Oryzias latipes: one gene and its partners. The protein of the gene in region 1 purifies or fractionates together with the protein of each later gene. This does not show direct contact. Links are inferred from orthologs where the notes say so. Each region holds a gene or a part of one and is shown on either strand. Other genes may lie near its edges.

Region 1 (3,652 bases):
ATATATTCTCCAAAATTTTGGAATAGCCCACTAAGAATCTTGGAATCCAGCTTGAGAAGCTGTTTGCAGGTAAGACCATCTCAACCATTTAAACTGACTTGTGGCAAATCCTGGTTGAAGTTTGGAACATTTTAGGACATTTTCATGGCACTGTAACTAGCATGAGGACAAGGTTTTTGTAACTTCAGTCATCCAATCCATCAACCACCAAACAAATAAATGACAGAGCAAGTTATTTGGCACTGGAAGAGACGAGGCAATTTTTTCATGGAAGCAACCCATAACCTCTTCTTTGGTCATCCCACAAAAACATACCCTTTACAAACATGGTACTGACTGTTAAAATGATAAGAATGATTAACAGCCATTACAACAATAAACTTTTTTTTGTGCAGAATCATTGCTACAACAAAAGAATTATCTATGGAAACAAATGCTTACTTTTCATGCTTCGTTGAAAAAGAAGTGTATTGGTTTGGCTCTTAATAAAGATGGTAACAAGTACAGAAATGTTGTACTTCTAATAATCAAACTGCTTCTACTAAACAATGTTGGTAAACTGCAGATAATGATTCTTAGTTACTTATCATCAGATCTTCTTTGTTTTATTCAGTGTTATTTCAGATCATCCACATTTCGTTTAATCGTGTTACTTTCTGCGTTCAGATATACGTCTTGTGTTTTTGTGTGTAATGGGTACCTTTTCTCAGTCGACGGAAGGCTGCAATCTTCCTTCGAATACGCGGCCTCCTGTCTTGTGATGCCACCTGCTCAGCAGAAACAATATGGCGTGCATTGTAGCTTAATCCAACCCTATGAAGGTGTCCTCGTATATGATTGGAAAGTCCAACACCAGACTCAAACACAGCCGGACAGTATGGACAATTCTTCTGGCCGGATTCTAATTCTGACAGATCATCTTCAAGGGATTCCCCCAATGGTATTTGGTGGGACTCAAAGGTCTCTTGAAAAACCTCTGTTTCAATGGATTCTTCTTTAATATCTGGGATGCTTTGTTCTTCATCTTCTGTCTTTATCTTTTCAAACAGCCGTTTAGAAGTATGTAGAGCGTCTCTCATGGACATCCTTCTACTATAAGTATAAATGATACTTTTTCTTTCTTTTTCAATACTATTTTCAAAAAGGGTACTACTGGCGTGTGACTCATTGATCTGAAAAATGTTGTTTTCCTCACAGTCAGAAAACTCTTCCTCTAGGTTTACTTTATTGTTACCTGCTAAATGTTTTGGTAAGATGAAGTATGAGTCTTGATCAGAGGTGTTGCGATATGGGGTGGACATCTTCCGTTTTGACTGTGACTTCTTGAAGGAATTTTCAACATTAAGCTTTAGGCCGTTTTCAGACGTAGCAGAATCTTCCACTTTGCTAGACAACATTTCTAGAGAATCACAATCATCAAAGTTGTCAATTGTGGAATCCTGAGCTTTTGCACTACAATTATTGCCTTCTTTCTGATCTGGACATTTTTTTCCCTGGCTTTGTCGAGACAAGAGAACATTAATCGATCTATCAAGTTTTGATTCTGTTGACGGAGTCTTGGGACCTTTCTGAAGCTTGCTGCTAAACAAGTCTGAAATGTCAGTGGACTCATCAGGAGTTCCTTTAGAGAAGTTTTGATTTTGTTTCGTGAAATTAGTTGTAAACTCTTTTTGTGCAGTAGAAGCCTTATGAGATGTGACCTTGTGGCCATGAGATTGAGTGACCTTGCCATTGTTCTGTGCTTCCATATATTCCGTCAAAGTCATCTGATGACGTAGAACTAGGTGGTTATGAAAAACATGTTCAGCAAAAGCTTTATAGGAACAAAGGGTACAGGGGAAGCTTTTGGAATCTTTGCTCTGTAGCTGCTTTTTACCTGTAACAGTAGGGTGCTTCGTAGTCTCGTGTTTTCTGAGTTCATTGTAACTTAGTGTCTTAAAACTACATCTGTCACATCCAAAATTCCTCTTTTCTTTTTCATGTGTTTTTGCGTGTTGGACAAATGTGTTTGGGCAATTCGTTACGAATGGACACTGAGGACAGAAAAGCTTCTTATTATATTTTTTCCTATTGCCTTTGATGTCTTCTGTGTGTCTTGTTTTCTTTACCTGGTGGGTTGCTATGTGATCAGCAAGTGCATTGCTTTGTTTGAAAGACTGCCCACATTCTTCACAGGTAAAAGGCTTTGGTGAAATACCAGGAGGGTCAACATGAGATTTCAAATGACGAAACAAGTGTTCTTGTTTCTTGAATACAAGCTTACATTTTGAACATGAGTAAGATGGAGGCTTCTCCTTAAATTGAGAAAGTCCACAATTTAAACTGTTTTCATGTGAAATTCTCGCAGGTGCTTTATGTAGCATTTCTTTAATGGCAGTTGCAGATCCATTGGGATACTTGGAAGGCTTCCCTGTTGGTGATGTTGGGGGTTTGAAAAGCTTTGGTGTCTTTCTGATAGGACTTGTATCAACCTGTCCTTCAATATCAGATGATTCATCAAATGACTTAGAGCCCAGAGCAGGGTACAAGTCTTCTGATGGATCCACCATAACAACCATGTCCATTTTCCGTTTCCTTCTTTGTCTGTCTGTTGGACTGGTTTGCTCTTTAGTTTCCTCTTCAGGGGAATCGCTATGATTCTCCCACAGAAACTCCATAAAATCTTTGTGAGGGCCCCAACTAAGGGCACTGACACTACCAAAATCATCCAATGAGTCATCTGGAGACTCCGCATCAAAGTTCCAGATTCCTGCAGTGTCTATCTCCTGCACAGTTTTTAGTGTGGTGATGCTTTTTTCCTCATCTTTCTCAACAGATAAGCTATTGTGTTCAATGGCTTGTGAGGCCTGATGCATAGAAGGTCCATTTCCCTGGTCATCAGAAGACAACACTTCCACGTTAGAGAGAACATCAAGGCCACTTTTGTGATGCGTAGCAGGCGTGTTTAAAGAATCAGTGCAAGATGATTGGTGTGCCATTCTCTCTGGCTCCTGCAGTGGCATGAGAGCACTGATTTCAGAATCTGCGTCTTTGTCATCTTCATCAACACCAGACTGACATGACATTTCCATTGCAATAACCTGAAAAAGAAAAGTAAAGCTTTGTGAAACATCGCCTAATCATAAAACTGTAATCATCAGAGTTCCTATGCAAATGATAAAATATCAACTTTTTTTGGTTCACACAAATTGGCTGCAAAAGGAATCAGTCCTTATCAGAAAGAAAAGAGAAATGTAGAACTATATTAAGGGCAAGATAAACATGTGGTGGGCTGGTTTCATTTGGCATGTAGTGCTGAAAATCTTCACACATTCCTAGCATAATCCCATGGAGTTGCTTCAGATGAGGGAGGAATGCTTATTATTTTCACACCAACATTTAGGTTTGATTGCTGATAGCTCTCTAAAAATAAGAAAATTATTGAAAACTAGAAAAATCATGTTTTGCCAAAAGAAATCCTGATAAGGAAAGAAAAAGATGGTCTAAAAAGTTAAATGGGGAATCCTCAAGCCTCTGACTACCAACTATTGGGTTCCTTTCACAAAGGAATTGTACTGTTGTACTCTGTTGAAATGGAAGGGACATGCTAAAAATGTTATCCCTTCATCTGAAGTGATTTTCTTTACAATGCTATCTATAACAAAAAGGATGG
Region 2 (4,350 bases), on another chromosome or scaffold:
ATCTGGAGCAGTAGAGATGTGCATTCTTGAACGCTAACTTCTCAATCTGATGAGTTCGGTTTGGCAGTTGCCAGAAGAACCGCATTTGTTATGATGTCCTAACGTGGGATGTTTCTCAGCAGCTGGGCTTGGCCCTTTTGTTCCAGAAAAACGGTCTTCTGAATGCTTCAACATACCAAGAGACGTGGACAATTCCAAGCCTATGAGGAGAGTCTGGGGAAGGTGGCTTCCTGTGGCAACATGAGCGCATGAGCGCCTGGTTTTGTACAAAAGCAGGGTCCACCAAAGACATGGATCGGATCTGCACAGAGTCCTGACATCAACTCAACACCTTTGGGACGAAATAGAGCAAAACCTATGACCTAAACGGAAAGGTCAAGCATTCCCAATAAGTTTGTAAAAATCTCTCATTTCAGATGTTATAGCTGCAAAGGCAGTTATCTGAAAGGAAGTCACTAATGCACAAAATCAAACAAATGTAAAAGCTAATTTTCCAAACATAACACACCTTTCTGTATTCATTTTTGTGTGATAAGTTCTTTGTTTTTCTTTTAAATTGAAAAATGTTTTTATCATATAAAACACTGTTCTGTGGGCATGAAAATTGCTTTACAAATAAAGTTAGATTTGAATTGAAAAACCAGAAATGTTGGTTTGGCCAAATTTAAAGGGAAAATAAACTGTTTATCAACAACACGAGTTTTTCCATTTAAAACGCAATAGAAGCTTTTATTATTACTCTTGCCTGGTGTAATAATAAAATGTAACTAAATACAATTATTTTTGCATCACGTGTATCTAATATCGATTTAGCATTCAAAGTTGGTAGCCTCGGGAAGAAAGGTTAGTCAAGATAGCTAATCTGGGAGTAAAAGAAGATTAGGAAAGTGTAGGTAATCCACATGTGTTATCTTAACCTAGGTGGTTCAATTTTTAGAGATAGAAACAAACAAACAATACAAATCACACATTTTTATTAATTTGTTTTACCTTAAACTAGCTAACCTCCTCGACTGTTAGCTAACGTTAGCTACCAACTAAACGCTCGTGCCTAAAATCTACGGTCCGATCCAAAGAGGATCGGCTCCCAGCCACAGAACCAAAGCTCCACAATTTTTGGAAACTTTGCGCTTATTTCTATACGTACCTTTGTCTCGTGGTGTTCGGTGATTTGTAGCGTCTCAAACAGAAGAATCAACTCCGAAGGCACACTGCTGACAACATGATCTCATCTCGTGGCCGCTGCTGTGCTACTGCCCTCGATTTTTTGTGTTTACTTCTATCGCCTCGTTTCTCCGTAGAGAGTGAAATTCATCACAATGAATCACAGACCGCCAGTTTGACATACGAAACCGACTTCGAATCGGTTTCCACGCGCAACTTTTTGTGGAAAACGGCCACGAGCCACGAGCACGTACACTGGTTTCTGATCAGTGATTCGGAATCAGTGTGCTTCGAAGGGGCGGGGCTGGAGCTGTGACGTAGCACGTTCAGCCGACGTGCTTCGGGGAAACATGTCGGCGTCCCACACAACGACAAAGGTAGCAACTGCAAAACGGGTTTACGAGCCCTTTTTACGCCTTTCTATTCTATTTTTACATACAAATGCGCATTAGTTTATTGGACATAATGAAACACAAGAATCCCGCATACCGTTAGCGTATTTGTGTATGTATAGATAAGAATTATTGTCTTGTAAGCAGTGTTAGGATGCTAGCAGTGCTAGCATGTAACAGTTATAAATGAGTATTTAGTCAACATTAATTCCTACACTTGACTCCCATTTATGACTATTTGCTACACATTCAACCCTTTAAATATATTTTTTTAATGTTTTAAATTATTCCACTATTTATCACGGAGTTCGTTCTTGTTGTTCTGTACGCTAAGTTCATCGTTTAAAATAGAAAACAAAGTGCACGAAAATTAATTTGTATTTAAGAAATATATATTTTTAAATGATTTTTGTGTTTATATTTGTGTGAAAGAGAAAGCTGGATATCTCTTGTTATGGGCTGGTTGACATGGCAACCGGGAATATAGGAGTTAGCATCGCCGGGAGGTGAAATTTGAAAAGAAAGTCTTAAGTTTTTAGATCAATCTTTTGTGTCATCATTTTTTAAATATAATTGTTAGATGGTATTTAAGTAACTAAAGCAGATTGCCATCCTACATACTTAGTTTTATCCTCAGCAAAGATTTAGGAGTAAAGCATTGATTTATGTGGAGAAAATATTATTATTACTAGTGTTTTTTTCTGGCAACATCAATTGAAAAAAACATTTTTTTTTCAACAAATAGTTTCCTATCAGTGTAAAAAATATGTGTTTTTTTTACTAGCTGTTTTCTCAGAGTCCATCACCTCGTGATAAACTGCAGTAAATGCATGACTTCTTGGGTTATTTTTTCTTTTAATCAGACACGTTTTGTGTTTTTTCACATACCTGACATGTTTTGGCGGCATCTGAGTCGTGATCAGGTGGTGGGGATGTGACAGGTGGAGCAGAGGAAATACTGTTATTTATAATAATGGTATTTCCTCTGCTCCACCTGTCACAACACCACCACCTGATAACGAGTCTGATGAAGGCAGAAGTGATTCCGCCGAAACGTGTCAGGTACATTCAGGAACATAAATATTTGGACATAGACAAATTCTTTCTAATTTAGTTTTTGTACATTACCACAGTGAATTTTAAATAAAACCACTTAGATGCCATTGAAGTGCAGACGTTCAGCTTTTATTCCATGGGTTGAACAAAAAGATTGCATAAAAATGTGAAAAACTAAAGCATTTTTTGAACACAATCCCTTCATTTCATGGGCTAATAAGTTATTGGACAACTGACTTCCATGCTATTGCATGGGCAGGTGTGGGCAATTCCCTTGTTATGTCATTATGAGTGAAGCAGATAAAAGGCCTGGAGTTGATTAGAGGACTCGTGCTTGCATTTTGAAGAGTTTGCTGTGAACAGACAACATGCGGTCAAAGGAGCTCTCCATGCAGGTGAAAGGAGCCATCATTAAGCTGGGAAAACAGAAAAAAACAATGCGAGAAATTGCTACAGTATTAGGAGTGGAAAAATCAACAGTGTGGTACATCCTGAGAAAAAAAGAAAGCACTGGTGAACTCAGTAACGCAAAAAGACCTGGACGGCCACGGAAGACAACAGTGGTGGATGATTGCAGAATCATTTCCATGGTGAAGAAGAACCCGTTCACAACAGCCAACCAAGTGAACAACACTCTCCAGGAGGTAGGCGTATCAATATCCAAGTCTACCATAAAAAGAAGAGTGCATGAAAGTAGATACAGAGGGTACACTGCAAGATGCAAGCCACTCATAATCCTCAAGAATAGGAAGGCTAGATTGGACTTTGCTAAAAAGCATCTAAAAAAGCCAGCACAGTTCTGGAAAAACATTCTTTGGATGAAACCAAAATCAACCTCTAACAGAATGATGGCAAGAGAAAAGTATGGCGAAGGCGTGGAGAAGCTCATGATCCAAAGCTCACTACATCATCAGTAAAACACGATGGAGGCAGTGTGATGGTCTGTGCATGCTTGACTGCTAGTGGCACTGGGACACTAGTGTTTATTGATGACGTGACACAGGACAGTAGCAGCCTAATGAATTCTGAGGTGTTCAGAGACAGACTGTCTGCGCAGATCCAGGTGAATGCAGCCAAACTGATTGGGTGGCGTTTCATAATCCAGATGGACAACGACCCAAAACATACAGCCAAAGCAACTCAGGAGTTTATTAAAGCAAAGAAGTGGAATATTCTTGAATGGCCAAGTCAGTCGCCTGATCTTAACCCAATTGAGCAGCATTTCACTTGTTGAAGACTAAACTTCAGACAGAAAGGCCCACAAACAAACAGCAACTGAAAGCCGCTGCAGTAAAGGCCTGGCAGAACATTCAGAAGGAGAAAATCCAGCATCTCGTGATGTCCATGAGTTCAAGACTTCAGGCTGTCATTGCCAACAAAGGATTTTAAGCCAAATATTAGTAATGACCATTTCATTTGTCCAATTACTTACGAGCCCATGAAAAGAAGGGATCGTGTTTAAAAAATGCTTTAGTTTTTCACATTTTTATGGAGTCTTTTTGTTCAACCCATGGAATAAAAGCTGAAAGTCTGCACTTCAATGGCATCTGAGTTGTTTGATTTAAAATTCACTGTGGTAATTTACAGAAACTAAATTAGAAAAAAATGTGTCTGTGTCCAAATATTTAGGGTCCTGACAAAACACAAACCATGTCTGATAAAAAAAAAATAACCCAAGGAGTCAGTTAATCTTATAGACACAATGAACTTTATTGAATATCCATGGTTTCGGTTTCTG
Region 3 (4,272 bases), on another chromosome or scaffold:
TGAAAGGTTTGGTGAACTTAAGTGTACTTGTATAATAAAATATTCATTATTACTGTGACCCCAAACAGATAAGCTGTCCAGTTACTTAAAAAATCTATCAGCAAGGCAAGATGTAACCCTTTAAATATTTGTCATTATGCAAAGGGATTGCTATGAAAACTATGGGTTCACAGCTTTACAAAGTCAGCCAAGTGTGTGAAATAATTGTGGAGTGCATGAAGTGACATTTTTCTTTTCCTGGTTTAGCTTAAAGTTTACTTTTCTGTCTCTAAGTTTCGCAAATGTGTGTCTTTCTTGTTTTTTGATTGTTTGCTTGTTGATTGCTGATAGTATGGTTTTTCTTGAAGAATTTAGGCGCTTTTGGGGGATTTGTTTACTCTGAATAAAAAAAGAAAGTGGCATTCTTGTTGTTTTTTCTGATAAATATAAGATTATTGTTCACATTTTATGTGTACCTTTAAGTCTAAGCATTTTTTAAAGTGGGGTGAATGTCTTTCTCCTAACTTAAGTACTTTGCTAGTGCTTTAAGTTTTTATTATTATTATTAATCCAAGTACAACTCAAATCACACCATTTGGCCAGTGCTGTAGTTATTTGGTATTGTCAAAAATGGTAAAGAAGACATTTTGACAAAATTACAATTTTTCTAGCAGAGAATTTTTTACTAACTCGGTTCACTTGGTGTAGAAGATATTGTTCACTATTGCAAATAAAAATAAAAAAATAGAAACATTTGGATTGCAAAAGTGTAGACTGAAGCACAGATCATTTTATTTCGCCTTCACACTTATAGCAAAGGTATTGCTTTAGTGTAACTAAATTTAACAGACAACCTTATATTTATCAAGTAAAGATTACTGAAAATGAATCACTTTACATTTGATAATCACATTGAGACAGTAAATAATTTTCACAGCTTTAAACACTGATACTTAATTTTTTTCACACTCAATCAATACAACTGCACTGACACAATATTGTTTTGTGTATTTGTTATTTTATTTAGGGCTTTATTATTAGGATTCTATGCACCCAAATTCTGTAGATCATTCTATAGCAGGTAAGTTGGTTTGCATAAAATAAACATTTTTTGTAGTATTCTTTAGTAACACGAGTTTATTTTAGCTCAGAAGTCATTTGTAAGCGTCAATATCAAAAAAACTCAAGACATACAGAATATTTAAAACACAAAAACAACTATAAGCTGTTCCTTTATTAGTGAAAACGATAGAAATGTGTCAATGTTTTAAACATGCTGCAAAGCTTTACTCGTGTATTCTCATTTTTCATTTAAAATGAAAAAACATATTTTAAAGATTGTGAGATAAACCGTTATATAAACTGAGAAAAAATAAATGACGTAAAAATAAACTAACAGGACACCGTAGAGTCACAAGTGCTCTAAAGCAAATTGTTTCCTTACGGGCTTCCGTAGCCTACTCGCCTTTTGCGTTTGGCGCGCACCCTCCTTTCTTCATCTGTACATAAAGACAGGCAGTGACCGCGTGGTTGAATAAGTCGTCACCGAGGTCATTTTCTAGGCTTTACAAGGTATGTAAGCTACGTTTACCGGTATTAAATGCTGCATCTCATCTCTTTGTTTTTGAACTTTTTTTCTTAAATAACTAAGACGTAAGGAGTAATTTAAGCTAACTTCTTCATCATAGAAATGAATGCAATGAACCGAACAGAATTTGTATTTGACTCTTCACAGCTCAAGCTTTTTAAGTTTATCAAGCCCGAGTGTTGTATGAATAGTATACTTTTAGTTTTAGACTGTTGATTGTCTCGTTTTGCTATTGCTATTAACTTAACACTAGCACGAACAATCTTTCGTTTTTTTGTTGGGTGTCGATATTGCTGTATTGTTGTAATTATTTGAGGCGTTAAGGTAAGATCTAAAGAAAACACGTTTTTGTAGCATGTTGATGTTCCTTTTTAGTAAAAAGATATAAACAATGGTACCATGGCCTCAAACTGTTTTGGCTACGTTAGCATGTTGGCTAACCCAAAGGACGCTAGTACCATTTACGGAAAACTTGCGGAGTGAACGTGGCCGAGTCGCGTCCGTCGTAAAAAGTTGGAAAAACTAAACACACACATGCTGTACACCTTTATATTTACGGTACAAGCCTTTCTGCTAAATGTGGGTCCTACAGGTGAAGTGGAAAAGGGCAGTTGCGTGATACATCGGCAATTGACTCTCCTTCCTCTTGGTTTTAGAGGCCAGAATGGGCAAGAAGCAGAATACAAAGAGTAAGAAGGACTCACAGGACACGCAGGAAGAGCCAGAAGAATTTGTTGTGGAAAAAGTACTCGACCAGCGTCTCGTCAATGGGAAAGTAGAGTTCTACTTGAAGTGGAAAGGATTTACAGAGTGAGTTAACTGGAGCCTCTCCAGCTAGTTCTTTAGAATGGGGAAGGGGGGTTGGCCTGTTTACTCTGTTACCACATTTTTATGTGGTTAAGGAATCAGACATTTACAATAGATTAGCATGAGCCTTAGATCCAATTTTAAAGTTTTTGTACATTTATACTATGATTCTTAATTTGACCCCTCCCCCTCCTTTAACTTGAGCTTTCATTTAGCTAAAATTAGCCAAATTTTTGGCCTCGATTTTCCTTCTGGCTTATGGGTATACAAAATGGGCTGAATACTTCAGGAAAAGAACAAGACAATTGGCTCGAATGTGGCAAGCATCTGCCCTTTTTCTTTGTTTTCCACTCACGCTGTAACTACCCATATAACGTAAACCAAAATTACAAATAGTTCATTTACATGCAAGAAGACACCAGATTATATGCTTTAGACAATTTTCTCATAACTTGACCAGTCTTGTTATTTTTTAAAGAACACCAGATTGCCCTGATCACTTGATAACCCAGATCATTTGGATCTGATTGGTTTCAGATTGTTCTGAACATGTAGTAAAGTCATTTTTGCATGAAGCTGCTAGTGTTCTCCGCATCCTGTTAGCTTTACATTTTTTTTAAAAGTCATGATTTATATGCAATTGATCACAGCCCTCTTAACTATTTAGTGCTGACAACACCTGGGAGCCGGAGGAGAACCTGGACTGTCCTGAGCTGATTTCTGCATTTTTGGAATCACAAAAGAATATTAAGGAGAAGCCTGCTGCTGTTAAAAGGAAAGCCTCCACAGATGAGCCAGAGACAGAGCCCAAGAAGAAAGACATGGTATGTCACAATGTCATTGCAGTACTTTGAGCTCAGTTCTAATTAGTCATTCTTCCATTTTAAAACTGTTTTCTGAATGTTCATGTGCTTCCACTTTAGGCTGAGAAACCACGTGGCTTTGCCAGAAACCTGGAGCCAGAGCGAATTATTGGAGCAACTGACAGTAGCGGGGAGTTAATGTTTCTGATGAAATGGTACATTTTTATAGAATGTCTCTGACTGTCTACTAGACAGAACCTTTAAAAGATGTTTATGAAATGAAAAAAATTATAAGATAAACATCCCACTTTAAAATCTGGTTCATAGGATTATCATTGTAAAACTCCTCACTACACACTTTATACACTTTTCTCAGACAAACAAACATTTTCACACTTTTCTCTCTTGTTTAAACTCTCAAATAAGACAATAAGTCCAATATTTTAGAAAGCAGACAAAAATCTGGTCACAATGGAAGATGTTTGTAATGGGCAAGCTAAACGCATTTGTACAGGAGACATGGGAGGGAGGAGATGGATGACATGGTCATCAACCAATCAGGATCCAGAGGGCAATCAAAATAAACATGCAAAGATATTTATAAAAATTTGAAGCAGCGATAGATAAACCACAGCATAGGGAGGGGTTAATGTAAAACTTGTTTTAGGTGAGCAGTACAATTTGGCCCAGAATGAAAACTTCTAGTTTGAACGTTGTTCACATTTTCTCTTAACTTCATTGGTTGGTTCACAAAAGAAACATTGTGGAAAGATGTTATTTATTGTGGAATATCATATGACTAATTTTTTTAAAGTAGTTTTATGTTGAATGTTTTTTTTTTCCATTTGTGTAACGCTGTTTAATTTTTTACAGGAAAGACTCCGACGAAGCGGATTTGGTCCCGGCCCGTGAAGCCAACACTCGCTGCCCTCAGGTAGTCATATCCTTCTATGAGGAGCGACTGACGTGGCATTCCTGTCCAGAAGATGAAGCTCAGTAACTGTTGTAGTTTGTGCTGTTCTTTGCATTACCTCTGCTCCTTTCTCAGGACGTTCTGTGCTCCTGTTTCCTGCCTTATCCTTCTAGTTACATGAA

The links.
Region 2: the proteins of znf644 (region 1) and ehmt2 purify together in Homo sapiens (affinity purification with mass spectrometry; 3 studies listed by BioGRID and IntAct, with this or other methods). This does not show direct contact. The link is inferred for Oryzias latipes from reciprocal best matches to the Homo sapiens genes ZNF644 and EHMT2.
Region 3: the proteins of znf644 (region 1) and chromobox protein homolog 3 purify together in Homo sapiens (affinity purification with mass spectrometry; 3 studies listed by BioGRID and IntAct, with this or other methods). This does not show direct contact. The link is inferred for Oryzias latipes from reciprocal best matches to the Homo sapiens genes ZNF644 and CBX3.

The regions. Positions count from the first base shown.
Region 1 is NC_019875.2:5,868,085-5,871,736, forward strand, and holds part of znf644 (zinc finger protein 644), read right to left. Parts: intron 3,081-3,652; 5' UTR 3,072-3,080; coding exon 701-3,071; intron 1-700.
Region 2 is NC_019869.2:5,431,808-5,436,157, reverse strand, and holds the start of ehmt2 (histone-lysine N-methyltransferase EHMT2), read left to right. Parts: upstream 1-1,468; 5' UTR 1,469-1,514; coding exon 1,515-1,541; intron 1,542-4,350. UniProt on the Homo sapiens protein: Histone methyltransferase that specifically mono- and dimethylates 'Lys-9' of histone H3 (H3K9me1 and H3K9me2, respectively) in euchromatin.
Region 3 is NC_019869.2:11,215,260-11,219,531, forward strand, and holds the start of chromobox protein homolog 3, read left to right. Parts: upstream 1-1,419; 5' UTR 1,420-1,551; intron 1,552-2,223; 5' UTR 2,224-2,231; coding exon 2,232-2,377; intron 2,378-3,041; coding exon 3,042-3,198; intron 3,199-3,297; coding exon 3,298-3,392; intron 3,393-4,050; coding exon 4,051-4,177; 3' UTR 4,178-4,272.